4 linked regions of the Danio rerio genome follow. The protein of the gene in region 3 interacts with the protein of the main gene of each other region in a biochemical or structural test. Links are inferred from orthologs where the notes say so. Each region holds a gene or a part of one and is shown on either strand. Other genes may lie near its edges.

Region 1 (4,213 bases), on a different chromosome or scaffold from region 3:
CGAGCTCTGCAGGGTCTGTTTAAGATAGTCTGAGTGTTTTATATGTTGTTACAGACACACAGAATCATCCTGCAACTGTTCTGCAGCATATGACGTGTCCCAAACACTGTTTTAACCGTCCATAATGGGCAAAAATGTTGATTTCACTCTCTGATAGTCAAAACATGTTCAAAATATTCCTATATTAAATATGCATTACAGACAGGCAGGAAACAGTGTTTATGTACATTCAGTCCACATATATGAACATCACTTTCCTCTAAAAGTACATCTTATCAGAAGATGATCCTCACGTTTTATTCTAATCAGCTTCCAATAAGCCCAAATAGCAAAGAGAAATGAGAGATGCATGTAGAAACAGCCTGAGCATTAAGAGATGAATGTGTTCAGCTGGAAGAAGATGGAGATGAGCAACAGTGTAAAGCTGCACACCATACCTCAGTATATTTAGACAGACGTTTCCCTCCAGGTCAATGTTGGGGTGATAAACCATCGTTTCACACTTGACTTTGGGGGGGTCGTGCGGATAACCCTGCCCTACCTAAAGGAGAAACACGTCAGAAAAACCTTCCCACAACGGCAGAGATCAGCGCACGGAAGTTTCACAACATCACTCACATACAGATCAGAACACTACAGAAACAAGCAGAACAGTGTGAGTGCAGCGGCGACAGCACACTGGAGAGAGCTGGACACGGACGCGCCGCTCGCCCCTCTGCTGCTCACCTTAAAACTGAAGACGAACTTCCCTCCTTTATAGAAACCCTGAGGAAAGAAGACGAGCAGCGGTCAGTACAGCGCTTCCCCAGATCAGCACACACACACACACACACACACACACACACACTCCTCAGCACACAGAACACACACCTCGTCTGGAGAGATGATGAGCTTAAAGTTCAGCAGGTCGTCCTGGTCTGGAAAGACGATCTCGCAGGTCTTCGGGAGGTTCAGCTCATTGATGTCTGACAAAGAGAAACAGCAGCATTAGCTTTTCTCTAACACACACACACACTTGTTTTTGTGAAAAGCGGGGACATTACATAGGTTTCCATTAATTTTATACTGTTCAAACCGTATACAGTATTGCCCTAACCCGAGCCATCACAGGAGCCGGTGTGCAGCTTTACTCTCTCCCTCACTCAGTGGGATTTAGAAGCTTTTGGAGAAATGAGGACGTCACCAATGTCCACAGATTTCACCTTTTTGTAATACCCGTGTTACACCTGTCATATACAGATTTGTGTCCTGATATGTCACAAAAACACACGTGCACACCTCTCTGCTCCACCACGGCTGCTTCATCTCCTGCTGTTCTTCATCAGTGTGGGCCAGTACAGTCATTATTGATGAGCAGAAGCACACAGAGGAGGTGCTGATCTCCACACTCCTCCATCAGCCGTCTGTGTTGATCAGGGCTTGTCATCATGTGTTTATGTGTTGTGGCCATGTCAGCCGCAGCGTAGATTAACAAGTCATACAACAACACATGAACTACAGCATCATACAGGCAGTGCCATCACCCAGAGCTCAGCGTCCCATGATCCTCGTCTGCGCAGGCTGATTCTGATTGGCTGTCGGTGGTTTGTACAGAAGCAGTGGGGCTGTTCCTCTGCATCTTCAGCTTCTGTTCACGCTCATCTAAATATTAAAGCCGCGTCATTGTTGTTACAGCGGTCGTGATTGGGTCTTAAAACAAGACTCAAAGTGTGTAAGAGTGTTAAAGGGTCCCGCAGGAGAGCTCTGCTCATGTACACACCGCTCACCTCTCAAAGCAGCACATCTGAACAACACTGCAAACTTTCAGGTCCAGAGTAGGAAAAACCAACACCGGAAGTCAAAGCCAGATTCCTCCAGCATTCTTCACACTATCTTCTTTTGTGTTTATTAGAAGTAACTCACAGGTGTGGAGCAAATAAAGCGTGAGTGATGGAGAACAGCCGAAAACACACTGTGCTTTATTAACTTAACTGAGGACACTTCCCTGGAACAGTTAAAACAGTGTGTGTGTGTGTGTGTGTGTGTGTGTGTGTGTGTGTGTGTGTGTGTGTGTGTGTGTGTGTGTGTGTGTGTTTAAAGCCGTTTCTCCTCATCAGTATCGGCTGTGTTTCCTCAGCCGAGTTGGTGTTTCTGCTGAATGGGGACCAGACTCTGCTCAGCTGTATGAACACACACACACACTCACTCCAGTTTGACTGTTACTGTGTGTGTGATATCGTGTGGATGGTTTGTGGAGCACAGCAGATCTTTGCTGAAGGTCTCCTCTGGTTATGAACAGCTCCAGCTCTCCTCCTCCTCCGGGTCTGTAGGCCTCAGTGTTTTGACTGAGACTTAAACTTTACCTCTCCGCGGGCAGAAACGCAGAGTTGTCCGCGCAGCTCGACGGTTGATCGGTGTTCTCCTCCTGCTCGGACTGTGAATGTCTAAACTGTCTGTTTTGTCTTGTTTTATGGGCCAGAATCTCCGAGGAGCGCCGGATGTTGTTAGCGCGCGGCTAATGCTAACGCTATCGCTGTTTCTCCTCAGCGACCCGGTCGGCGGCCCCGCGGCTGTGCGAGCTCCGGTACCGGCCCGGTGTGTTTGCGTGCGTGTATATGTGTGTGCGCGAGAGCAAGAGTGTGTGTGTGTCTCTCACCCTTCTGTATCCGCAGCTGGGCCGCGCTCGCCTTCTTCCCGCCGCCCCCCGCGCGCGGCCCGCCGGCTGACTCCTCGTCCTTCTTCTGCTGCTTCAGCGAGAAAAGCTTGATCATCTTCGGCCTCTGCAGAGCAAACAGCGCGGTGTGTTCGGGAGCTGCGCTCTGAGGGAGAGAGAGTGTGTGTGTGTGTGTGTGTGAGTGTGTTTCACAGCAGCTGTAGAGGGAGCCGGTGTGTGTGAGTCAGTCTCTCTCTCTCTCTCTCTCTCTCCCTGTGTGAGTGTGTGTGTTAGCCGCAAATGCTAGCTCTGTTCACACACTGTTCTTTCAGCTGATTTCAGAACACAATTAACTAGACAGAAACCGCAAACTTATACTTTAAAGTTAATAAATCTTCTTATTGTTGATAGTGTTGTTGTTGTCAAGATGAATGTTTTTTTAATAACAGCTATTATATAATTGTGTCAGTTTTATCATAAATCTGCGGTGATACTGAAAGCGGATGTTTTGGGTAGGGCACCGGCGGACCACATTTCCCATAGTGCCGTTCGGCGGTGACCAGAGGACTGGGAGGAGCTTTGCTATTTTTTTACTCTCCATATTTTTTATTTACCATATTTATTTATTTATTTGATTTCGGGGAGCAGAATCGCATGTGATGGCGTCAGCGTCCTGTCAGAGGTTGTGGCCCGTTTCCCGCGTCTGCTGCTGAATGAACGCGGATCCGCCATCAGACGCGCAGCAGCACAATAGCGGAGCGCGAACAAAAGACACGTTTATCCGCCGCTGCGCTCCCGAACACCGGCCTGCGGATCCACACGGCGGGGATTGAGCGGCTGGAGGGCTGAGGGACCGGGATCAGCCTCTCGGTGTCGGTAACGGCTCGGTGAGAGGGCTGAGCAGCAGAAACACGGAAGCTCATTGTGTTCCGCCGCAGAAACAGTCCGATGCTCGGCCAGAGAGTATGCGCCTCCACACGAGCAGGTGAGGGCACTAGATAGGCTGCTTCTCTAACGGCAGTCCTGTGTGCTGCTCAGCTAGTCATCTGTGTGTGTGTGTGTGTGTGTGTGTGTGTGTGTGTGTGTGTGTGTGTGTGTGTGTGTGAGGGAGAGAACTGCTCATTTAAACTAACCCACCCTGGGCCAAATTCTCTTCCCTCAGCTGCTGGTTAGGGTTAGTAGCGCTGCTGGATGGAGCTGCTAACCTGCTAACTAGCGTGTCTGTTTATTTGTGTGTGTGTGTGTGTGTTTCAGACCTGCGATCTGCTGCCGCTGGACTGTGTGAGGGTTGGTTAGCTGGTTAGCGCTTTCTCTCTCTCTCTCTCTCTCTCTCTCTCTCTCTCTCTCTCTCTCTCTCTCTCTCTCTCTCTCTCTGCTGTGTGTGTGTGTGTGTGTGTGTGTTCATCCACTGATGGTAAAGCTGTGCTTGTGATGAACGTGTGTTCTCTGCTCTGCTTCTGTCATTTAGGCCCTTATTTCACCTGTCTGTGTGTGTGTGTGTGACAGCGTAACCCACATACTGTATAAATGCCATGGTAACCACAGTGCCAGTAGTTACCTCAGTCATCCATCACTGTAGTC
Region 2 (3,568 bases), on a different chromosome or scaffold from region 3:
AAAACACTCCATGTGTCTTCAATGGTTAAATCGGAATATCATGAAGCTACTAGAATAATTTTCTGCACACATAAACCAAGAATAACAACATTATTCAACGGTTTCATTTCCTCAGTGTCAGTATAGAGTGCACATTCATGAGAAGGCGTATTCGAGATATATGTCAGCAGCACGACCAAGTGCAAAATGCAGAACAGCACTCTCATGAATGTGCACCCTATACAAACACTGAGGAAAAGAAACTTGTGAATGAAGTTGGCATGGGCCGGTATAAGATTCTAAGGGCATGATAACCTTAGATAAAAATGTCACTGCTCCAAAATAAGTTCATTTAAATGTCTAGGTAAAAAGCTACAACTATTTTTGCCAATGGAACACAGTTTACTTTATTTAAAGAAACATTGAAAATATTTTAGATTAGTAGTTTTTGATGGGGAGGTTTTATCTTCTGATGAAGATACAGTTGTAAGTAAATAGTTATGAAAAACGTGAAAAAAAACAAAAAAATAAAACGATGTTTTTTTTTTTTATGGTGAACTAACTCTTTACACCATACGTCTAAAGCTCAATTCCTGGATTGCCGCAGCTTTGCATAGTTCGACTCCAACCCTAATCAAACACAGCTGATCCAACTAATTAAGGTGTTCAAGACTACTGAGTGGTACAGTACGGTACGGTACACTTTTATGGCCGCTTCCACTGTCAATGTACCTAAAAACAATACGTACTGTACCACTTTTTGGGTACACTTTTGGAAGGCTATTGGTTTATAGAGATACATCACTAGTTCGTGGAAAAGCAGCAGAATGAAAACAAAGGAACCGCTATTTTTTTAAACACAGCTGAGACATTACACCATAATAATATATACATATAATTACCAGCCATGGTCAACCTGAGCTTAAACAAAACTTGTCGTCATCTTGATAAACAGTCACAAAGCCAAGATGAAGAGCAGAATCTACTATTGGTACCCCTTTGGCAGTGGAAACACAAGCCTGCTAAAGGTGACCCGTACTGCACCGTACTGTACCACTCAATGGAAACAGGCTATTAAGCAGGTGTGAGTTGGAGGTAGAGCTGCGGCCCTCCAGGAATTAGGTTTGAGACCACTGCACCATGATTAAGAATATACAAATGTTATTGAAAGGAATGTTTACTACATATAATCCACATGTTTGGCAAACCACCCTGGTAGTGTCTCATTAAACCTCAATATTAGTAGACATCATCAGAAGCCACTGGTATTATTTTGTTTTGCATGTGTATGTTTTTTGACTCTCTAAGTACCAATAGATATGCGTTTCCACAGTTCCTCCACCGTTTCATCTAAAACATTTCTTTAACGTTCTACTATACACAAAAAAAAATCTTGGGTGGTCTGAGGGTTAGTAAAGTTACAGCAGTTTTTCCTTTCTGAGTGAACTAAATAGCAGAGAGTAGCCTAAATTTAGCTGACATTTTCCCTGCCTTCTAGACATTATCAAGTCAAATTACATCAACTCAGCCAATTTTGATCTGATTATACCTTTTCTAGATTACATAAAAAAGTCCAAAGAATAGCACAATGACTGAATATGACTGATTTTGCCCACATACCTGCATATTCATAAAACCACTCTAAACATCTCTTGCTAGAAAAAGCTTCGGCTTCCTGGATTTGCAATGCCTCCTGTTTTCTGTAAACACTGAAAAAAACAGACAGGACAAAGCGACGGCTATTTAAACACACATTAGCACACACTTGTACACAGATTAAGGCACAAGCATGATGCATCTGATACAAATAAGAAGAGACACATGCTCTGAGGGCAGAAATCCACCCACACAAACACAGATCTGGTGGTACAATTAGCAGTTATGAAAGTTATGCAACTTTCTTTTAACATTACTGTAGAGATCTGTTTCTGTCATGGATAAATGCTAATCCTAATTGATCTGACAGAATCCTAGTTGACTTACTCAATTAAAGGCTGGGTAGATGAATGAGCGTTTGTTAGGGCTGCACAATATATCGTTTCAGCATCGATAATGCAATACAACTATTGCAGATGCGCACATTGCAGGATCTGCAATGTCAGATATGACTTATTGTTGACCAGGAGCTTGTAGACTAATGGCAAAGTTGAATAATTCTGGATTTAGAGTTTATTAGTTGCATTTCCCCTTTCTTTTTCTCTCTGTTAAACATCAAATGAGTTTAAACCATGCAAGCACAAGAAACTGCTTTAACAAGGACTAATTCAATTAGATTTCATAGTGACTATATGGACACAATGGGCTATATGCACAGCTAGTGTTTTTCAGCCAATGATAAACTTTCAGTGAAAGCTTAATGTGACTATTTTCAATTTCATAAGGTTCCTTTTACAGCACTGATGTTGTAATGTAATAACAATACATTCAGTTAAAGAGACTTAAGCATTCGATTAATTGTTCAATTATGAAATAAGAAGAAAACCGCAGTCAGTATCAGCAGGTTAGCGCAGAAACTCCATTGAAAATACTGGGGCAAAATAAACTGTCATATTTTAAAGACATGGCAGGGGAAATGGATTAAATGCAGTGCTTCTTGTCCGGTCTGAGACCCACTTCATATCATATATCTATCAGGCAGTGATGATCACTGATTTGTAAAGAAATCAGACCTTAAACCTGGCAATTTTACAATGGAAAGAGAGTTTACCGGATGAGCTGAGGCTGCCTGGCTGAAATGAAAAGTCTGTGTGCATATACGCCATTACAATATTTTTATCCAACTGCCATTAATACCAGACACATATAAAACACTTGTTATTTCTCATTTGTATGTTTCCCCCATCATAAAAATCTATTTTAAAGTTCATTTTAATAATTTATGTAGATGCACTCCTGTATTAAATCACCCCAAACATTGAGTTCTTCACAAAAACAGTTCTATCCATCTGATAAAATAAATGTTGTATCATTGTATGTGTGTGTGTGTGTGTGTGTGTGAGGGAATAAAAAAAGATGGAAAATGGACTAAAATGAATAGCTGGATAAAAAAGATAACTAGAGAAGAATTGGACTACTAGTGTATAACATAATAACTTGAAAAAATGCCAGAAATTCTTCCAACTACTGAAAAAAAATTCAAACTTTTGGTAAGAAGCAAAAAAGTCAGTACTCAAAAATAGTTTCAGGTTGATCCTTCAACAAGAGGTCAATGGATAGGAATTGTAATAGAATTGCACTGTATGGAGAGACTGACATTTAACCTCAGACTTGATAAAAAAGTACAACAAGTATTGGTAAAATGGACTGAGTTTGTCATTGTAAACAATATGTGATCATGTGCTTCAAATGTATTGTAAATTTTGTAACCCCCATGACAACCACTTTGTTACCCCCCTTTTCTAATTTTATTTATAATTTTTAATCATGTTTTTTTCCTAAATTTTTTTTTTTAAAGAGAAAAAGGGGAAATGAAAAGCTGGAGAAATGTATATATAAAAAAGGTCAATGTTATTTTATTTGAGCATACTTATCCTGCCGGCTCTTCTTAGCAGACAGGTCATCTCCAGCAGTGGGTCTCCTCTTTTTCCTT
Region 3 (4,024 bases):
GTCTGTATTTACATTCATCCACTGGCAGCTAAACTCCACGCCTTACACTATCGAGCGTGTATACACTCTGACTACTTCTATATTGTTGATTAGCTGCTGGCTATTCGCTCTGTCTCTGGCTGAAAGCAGTTAGTGTCAACCATTCGCAACAGACTGTCATCGGTCCAATCAGCGCAGATTAGCTTCGCGCTAAGGAGGGGTTTGGGAACAATTGAATCACTGGACGATTCATACGGGAGTCGCTGGGATAATTAGGTAAAAATAAATGCAGATAATAAGACCATGAAAGTGTTTTTTGACCTTGCATGCATATTAGACTGTTGTTGGAGACCCTTACAACCAAAATATGACCCTATTTCATGAATAATATGGGCTCTTTAAAGCCTATCACTGTGTGAACATTCAGGCACTAGAAATTGTACCATTTGTAACTTTAATTAATGATATAGTTTTTTTTTAAATTATTTATGAAACTGTACAGTGCTCATTTACATTTAATTATTCGATTTCTGTAGCTAAATACTGTTAGAGTCCCAACAAAAATCATATAGCGCTGTTTATTTTACTTTTAATTTAGCTCTATTGTATTTATCCAAGCGTTTAATGTGTTTATTATATTTCATGAATGATTCTCTCTCCTACAAAACCATCACAATCAGTCCAAATCAATTAAATTGTATTCATATCGCAATTATATATCACAGATGAATAAAATATCGCAATATCATATTTTTTCAATATCGTGCAGCCCTAGGGTTTACATGTCTGCTTACTGCAATTTAAATAACCGCACATCACATACTTTAAAATAATTATAGTTTCTATAATTATGAGCTTAATCCTTCCACTTGATTAAAGTGTTGTGTTTGAATTAAGTTCATTTATGATATTCTGTCACCATTTACTCATTCTCAACTTTTTCCAAACAATATTGAGCTTTATATTACAAAATGTTGGATTTAAATCAAAATATGGATATGTTGGAAACCTGTAACCACAGACTTTCATAGCATGCTTTTCCTAACTTGTTACAGGTTTCCAACATACTTCAAAATATCTTCTTTTGTGTTCAACAAAACAACTCAAGTTGGTTTGAAACAAGTAAATAGTAAATGTTAGTAAATGAAAACAGAATTTGAATTCTCCGTGTAAGCTAAAGTGTCAGTATAAGACAAGAAGCTGAAAATAGAAAAGTACAACTAAAAAGAAAATAGAAGAATCAGACTAGAACTAATCATTTACATTCATTAAAAGACAAACATTTATTAGGGTATCCCTACTAAGTATTCGTTCTAATTAAGAATTTTGGTGGCAAACAGAAAGCATTGATAAGTTAAGCCACAAGGCCTATATTAATGGAGATTAATTCAGTCTTTATAAAATGGTGCTCACTGTTCATTTTTAGAAAAATCTGTATCCCTTTTATTGCATTTATATTGCCAATGAAATCAAGAACAGAATGGAATCCAAGTAGCGTCTGTAAATCATTGATGCAAAGCACTAGTGAAGCATATCAAAAACACACAAGAGATATGTCAACTATTACTTGTTAACTTCTGCTAGCATATAATCACAAATAATTAAATGGTACAAACTTTAAGTGATCAAATATATATATATATATATATATATATATATATATATATATATATATATATATATATTTTTTTTTTTTTTTTTTTTAATGAATTTCAAAATAAGATCTAGCTTTTAGACAAGCACTGGTAAAATTCAATGAAATAGTTGTTATTATAAATTGATCTTGTAATATGCCAAGTGATTCTTTTCCAAAATATGCTTGACAAAACATTTGTCCTATAAACTACTGTCACGTTTTACTGTGTTTTCTGTAAACGTATGTACTCTCACCAATACAAAAATTCATAAGAGCTCAGAATAAATTAGACAAACTCTGAAAAAGACACAAACCGCAACAAATAATTTTTCTCAACACCCTAACATAATGTGATAGTACATTATGAGTGACAGTTGCACAAAACTACATTACTATTTTAACCCCTTACATTTATATAAAACCTACTGATGTGTGTTGACACATACCCAAACATTAGCATGACTCATAAACCAACCACTTTGAAAACTCCTGACTGAGGTTATAATTTCAAAGGAAAACTTACCTCACACTGGCACATGAGGTTTAGGAAACTTAATGAAAACCAATTAAAATGTCTATGTCTCAAAAACTGCCAACCCAGTAGACAACATTTTGGGCCAAAAGTGCTGTCTAGGGTAGGCATCTGAGACAGCAGAATTCATGTGAATGTGTGTAAAGGACTCTTCGTTTTGCCTCAGCATTTGTTTACAGCTTTAGGTCTCCATAATATACTTCTTAACACATTAAACGCACTAAGTATTTAATTCATGAACATTTATATGGCGATATTGTTTTGTAAACAGCATCAATAGATTAGCAATGCTAGGTAGCAAGCTCGTTAGCTTCAGGTACCCTTCCTTGTAAACTGCCGCTAAGAGGAACTATTAATACCATAATGTCAACCAAACGTACGTCATTTAAATATAACCTGAAAATCAAGACAAACATTTGTTATTAACCCACTACTGTTATTCTCCGAGGCTTTTGAGATATAATGATGTAAAATGGCTACCTATTCTTAACTGGTGTGTAATATCACAAAAATGTCTCTCTTCCTTATCGACACATTGCCAGACACGTCCATTTAGTTTTCATTTATGTCAAACCGGGACGCCTGACACGTGTTTAAAGATTTTTAGTCTTACCTGTGTGTGTTTGTAACGTCGAGCAGTGTGAGGTCGAGGCCCTGCGCTCAGTCTGTGTGTGTTTGACTGGAGATGACTGGGAATTCCGTATTAGAGCGAGTGAAACGTCATACGCCACAGCGCAGAGACACACAGCGACGCCTACTGTCCACTCACCGTAGTACACCAGCTGCGTAGGAGCTTCACTCTTTCAGGTGCCAGGAACCACTTTGACCATTCCTGCTGCGAATGACTCAAAAAATGTGTGTAAAACCCACCAGTGGTGGAAAGAGTACTGAAAAATCATACTCATGTGAAAGTACCATTACTTGCCTAAAAATGTAGTTGAAAGTAGAGTAAAAGTATCTGTTGTAAATATTACTCAGTCAGTGAGTGGTGGAAAGAGAACTGAAAAATCATACTCAAGTAAAAGTACCATTACTTGCTTAAAATGTAGTGGAAGTAGAGTAAAAGTATCTGTTGTAAATATTACTCAAAGTATGAGTAAACCTTCCAAAAAAAAGTAGACCTTCCAAAAGTACTCGAGAGTAGTGACTAGTGAGTATTACGCTGTAAAAAGCTGATTTGTTTACATGTAATTTGTGCATGTGTGTGTAAACGTAACATTCTGTAGTGCATTTAGTTATTGCCCAGCAGGCACACGACATCATAAGACGTTAATACTAGGTTAGATTTAGGTTGTGATGTCAGGTGACCAAAATTCAATAGCCAGGGTCTAGGGATGTTATTTTGATGTCCAATAATGACGTCAAATGACGGTGATATTTGGTTGATTTTAGGTTGTGTTGGAAAGTGACCAAAATCCAACGTCCAGCCAACATCTAAAACCAATGTCATTGACGTCAAGTACTGACACTTATTCGTCAGGTATGGAAACCAAAATCCAACGTCTGATAGACGTAGTGGTAACATCCACACAACAACAAGCTGTAACATCATTAGACGTTGATATTTGGTATAGGTTGGACATTGACGTTAGGGTACAATGTCAATCTGACATGATGTTGATGTCTTGCGTCTTTGATTAAGGCCATTTTGGTCATCATACAGTAAACATCCTTAATTTTTTTTTCAAAGACATGCATCTAAACAGCCTCTGGGTCAATGCATGTAAAAATTTAGACATCTTGGACATGTTTAATGCTTCCAAACTGTTTGCTGAAATTATAAATCGCCCTTGTCTTGAGGTAGTTCATTGTGATGCGATTTAACTTCTTTGTGTGATTTGATTGGACACGAATCACAAGACAGTTTTTCTAATCTC
Region 4 (4,192 bases), on a different chromosome or scaffold from region 3:
GTTTACATCCCTCAAAATGGTTTATAAAGAACCATGGTAAACAATACAGGGAGCATGTCAAAAGTTGTCACTGAACGAATGTGCACATATAAAACCAACTTAACCTCAATGTCAAATGTTGCTAACGTGATGAACATTTCTGGCTACTCTGAGAACACCTAAAAGTGAACTTCACACATCCACTATTCAAATCACTGCAACATCAGATGAATAAAGGTCAAACAAACTGACTAAGACAAATTTATAAAACAAAAAAGCAGCAGTATCATTTGTTAACAGTAGCAACTTTGTATACTAGTCCACCAAATAAATGCAATGGCATCGATACACCCTTAAGTCCACAAATACTACTAGGACCACTGATTGTCCAAAAATAGACCAGTGAATGAAAGGGAAATGAAACATTGTGACAGGGTCCGGATGACTGTGCAGATTTGCCCCGTGATTACTGCAGTGCTGGGGTGAAGTAAGTCTTCAATAATACATGCACCATCATCATCATCATCATCCTCGTTGTCTCCACCCAGGACATCTGTCACACTTCAAAAGGGGTTTACTCAGCGGCTCTATAATGTCAGCTCAAAGTTATTCTAACATAAGTACACTCATATCACCCTTCGCCGGTTACCCTGGTGTCTACTGACACTGAAGCAAGAGAAATATCACAATTTGGTGATGCACGTATGCCACGAGTTAGCGCGCAAACGTCCCGACAAGCAGACATAAAGCAAGGGATGAAACTCTGATGTCTCGCTCGCTCCCACTGCTGCTGGGGAACTTCGATTCAACAGCGGGTCGGGTTAATGGGAACGATAAGTTCGCCGACAGCATAAGTGCAAAAACAACACAGAATAAACCTCACCTCTATGAGCTCAGTGTAAAAATCCAGTGTGCTGCGCTTCTCCTTTAAGGACAGATCAAATCCAGCGCAGCTCTAATATCCCAGAAAGGTCTCTCTCAGATTGTCCTTTGCAACTTTCCCGTGTCCAAACATGCGTGCCGTTGTGCCATTTTGATTAAAAGAAAACTACAGGCTTTTTCCCCATTGAAAATTCCTAACAGTGCGCCGTTTCTTTTCTCGTGGGAGTCGCTCGCTGAAACTCCTTTCTGTTTTTTCTGCTTAATCAGTGCTGCTTCTCATCAGCGTTCAAGCGCGCGCTGCGCGTACTCGCTGCGGCTCTTGGACTCGGCGGATGGGCGGGGTCAGCTGCGGCGATGGGCGGTGGCTGCCTTTCACAGAACAAATACGTAACTAGACGCGTCACGACAACAAGCCAATCAACGACGAGCTTGAGAAAGAGGCGTGTACGTCTGATCCGCCCCTTAAAGACTGTCGCAAAGGGTGTAAAAGCACGACATTTTCTGTCACAACATTTAAATGTTTACGGCAGCTGCCCTCATCGCGCCAGTGGTAGAGAAAGGTGGACGGTATGATAGTTTTATTTTGGTGCTGTTTCTTTTGCGAGGTAAGAAACGATGTTTACAGACTAGATTAACAGATAAAGAAGGTAGAGAACGAAAAATTATTTGCTTTGGAGTCGTTGTGTTAGTTTGGCCTGCACCAGTGTAGTGCATGGAAGACAACTTTAATGCTCGAGAACGGTTAAAATAATAGTGTAAATACTGTAACGTTAATAGGCTATTTTGAAGGGGTCTACTTATGTTACTAAAAAGTACAGGTCAGGGTGTAAGTGTTGTTCTTGAAATAATTACAAAACTAAAGTGATATGAGCTGGTGATAAATTACTGTTAGTAGAATGGGCAGATGAACTGATATGTCAACACATTGATGAATAGATTTTATAACATAGTATTAGCCACTAGAGTATGCATTTAAATCAATAAAATCTCTAAATTGTCTCCACAGTTTATGCAAATAACTTTGGCACATTTAATTGCAGATGCTTTTACACATTTTAAGTGCAGTTGAAGCCAGAATTATTAGCCCCCCTGTTTATTTTTTCCCCATCTTATGTTTAACGAAGAGAAAAAAATAACACCTTTCTGAACATAATAGTTTTAATAACTCATTTCTTATTACTGATTTATTTTATCTTTGCCATGATAACAGCACATAATATTTGATTAGATATTTTTCAAGACACTTCTATACAGATTAATGGGAAATTTTAAGGGTTAACTTGGTTAATTTGGGTTACCTAGGCAGGTTAGAGTAATCAGGCGAGTTATTTCTATAATGATGGTTTGTTCTGTAGACTGTATCAAAAAAATAGCTGAAAGGGGCTAATAATTTTGTCCTTAAAATGGTTTAAAAAAAAATAAAAACTGCTTTTATTCTAGCCGAAATAAAACAAATAAAAAAACATTATCAGACATACAGTGAAAAATTACTTGCTCTGTTAACATCATTTGGGTAAATATTCAAAAATACAAATAATAATAAAAAAATATATATATATATCAAATGGGGGTTAATAATGGGGTAAATCATTTTGACATCAGCTGCATACACCATGACAAGTATTCAATTATTTAAATTTTACTATAAATAACATATTTATTGTGTAATCAGTAGAATTAATAGTACAGCCATAACGGCAAATAGGTAGTTATGTAAGCATATAAATAAATAACTACACTGAAAATGGTGCTGTTTAGGAAAATACAAACCAAAGGGGTCCCACACTTTTTGAAAGTAAATGAATTTTACACGTATTTATTCAAGGCCTGACAAGTACCTAAAAACAAACATAGGTCATTAAAAGTGCTTGAATTAAATATGAAATAAAATTTGTTATGTAATTTAAACAATTTTACTGCTGTTAAAAACTGTTTAGAAAACTGAGAAATTCTTCATTTTAAAATCTTAAATTTAAGTCTAGTACAGTAACGCTGACAAATAATGTGCATTTTATTAATATTTCAGAAACTGCACTTGAGTATTACCTGCATTGAAATCAACAAATTTTATTCACGTTCTTAGAACATGTCTGTTTTTAAATGGTATTTTTTACTGTGACATTTTTAGGTGAAGTGAATTGTTAAGTACAGTAAGGACTTTCACACACTAAATAAGCTGGGGTGTAAATTACAAAGGAGCTTGATTTAAAGTTATGATGCTTTAAAAAGTCTTTGAATATGCTGTTTGTAAAAGTTACCTCAGATATTAGTTGCCACAGTGAGACAGTACTAATAAAAAATAAAATAAAGAAATATAAATTGTTGGGAAATAACAAATTTAATAAGTTAGTAAGATCAATACAGTCAGTGGTTGTGTCATTAGTATATATGTTGATAAATAGATTTGTAACGTATTCAAATGATGCTGTGAATGGTAAATAAAAACATCTTTATATAGTCATTCTATTATTTGCAGTAAATGAAACATCCTAAAGTGATGCTGGAGCACTTTCAAAGTAACCTTTAAATTGTATTATTGTTGAAATGACCTACTATTACAGTAGGTACACAGAAATGTGAGTACTGAGGGTAAAAAAGGCTGTTACAACATGAAAATAGTGAGTGGGGATAGTAAAATGTACTGTTTAGGCCAGGGGTGCCCAAACTCAGTCCTGGAGGGTCGTTGTCCTGCATATTTTAGTTTCAACATCAATTAAACACACCTGAACCAGCTAATCAAGCTCTTTCTAGCTATACTAGATACTTCCAGACAGGTGTGTTGAAGAAAGTTGGAGCTAAACTATGCAGGACACTGGCCCTCCAGGACCGAGTTTGGGCACCTCTGCTTTAAGCGATTTATTTATTTTAGAAAATAAGTAGATTAAGTTAATAATAATAAAAATAATAATAATAATGTAATTGTGCACTTTTACAATTCAATCTGTACAAATGCAACCAAACAAATTATATTAATTATAACAAAAATCAATTGATGACATGACATGACTAATACCAACTAATTATCATTTGCACCTTTTTTGGCCAGTGCTGTTTCCACAACTAGGTTTTGGCCATTTTCCAGCAATACAATTTGAAATAATTTACAATATAATTTAAAATGCATTAGCAAAGTCCTTTTATATATATTTTAATAATTACATGAGAATAAGTATGTTGTTGCATTTTTACATGTATATAATTTACTCTGAATAATGATATAACACAATCTGACCCATTTGTTACTTTTTAAACAATATTTTACACATAAAAAAAAAGTATATGCACTTTATTTGCATAATCACTTTTGTAGATATAATCTGATGCAGACACC

The links.
Region 1: of the proteins of cul1b (region 3) and si:ch1073-205c8.3, one has a biochemical effect on the other in vitro, tested with the Homo sapiens proteins (7 studies listed by BioGRID). The link is inferred for Danio rerio from reciprocal best matches to the Homo sapiens genes CUL1 and UBE2M.
Region 2: the proteins of cul1b (region 3) and dcun1d4 are reported together in a solved structure, tested with the Homo sapiens proteins (2 studies listed by BioGRID, with this or other methods). The link is inferred for Danio rerio from reciprocal best matches to the Homo sapiens genes CUL1 and DCUN1D4.
Region 4: of the proteins of cul1b (region 3) and senp8, one has a biochemical effect on the other in vitro, tested with the Homo sapiens proteins (2 studies listed by BioGRID). The link is inferred for Danio rerio from reciprocal best matches to the Homo sapiens genes CUL1 and SENP8.

The regions. Positions count from the first base shown.
Region 1 is NC_133194.1:51,592,673-51,596,885, reverse strand, and holds the start of si:ch1073-205c8.3 (NEDD8-conjugating enzyme Ubc12), read right to left. Parts: upstream 2,849-4,213; 5' UTR 2,751-2,848; coding exon 2,636-2,750; intron 966-2,635; coding exon 871-965; intron 766-870; coding exon 727-765; intron 542-726; coding exon 438-541; intron 1-437.
Region 2 is NC_133195.1:25,817,098-25,820,665, forward strand, and holds part of dcun1d4 (DCN1-like protein 4), read right to left. Parts: coding exon 3,506-3,568; intron 1,689-3,505; coding exon 1,600-1,688; intron 1-1,599. UniProt on the Homo sapiens protein: Contributes to the neddylation of all cullins by transferring NEDD8 from N-terminally acetylated NEDD8-conjugating E2s enzyme to different cullin C-terminal domain-RBX complexes which are necessary for the activation of cullin-RING E3 ubiquitin ligases (CRLs).
Region 3 is NC_133199.1:21,267,525-21,271,548, forward strand, and holds the start of cul1b (cullin-1b), read right to left. Parts: upstream 2,830-4,024; 5' UTR 2,761-2,829; intron 1-2,760. UniProt on the Homo sapiens protein: Core component of multiple cullin-RING-based SCF (SKP1-CUL1-F-box protein) E3 ubiquitin-protein ligase complexes, which mediate the ubiquitination of proteins involved in cell cycle progression, signal transduction and transcription.
Region 4 is NC_133182.1:57,822,505-57,826,696, reverse strand, and holds the start of senp8 (sentrin-specific protease 8), read left to right. Parts: upstream 1-1,372; 5' UTR 1,373-1,466; intron 1,467-4,192. UniProt on the Homo sapiens protein: Protease that catalyzes two essential functions in the NEDD8 pathway: processing of full-length NEDD8 to its mature form and deconjugation of NEDD8 from targeted proteins such as cullins or p53.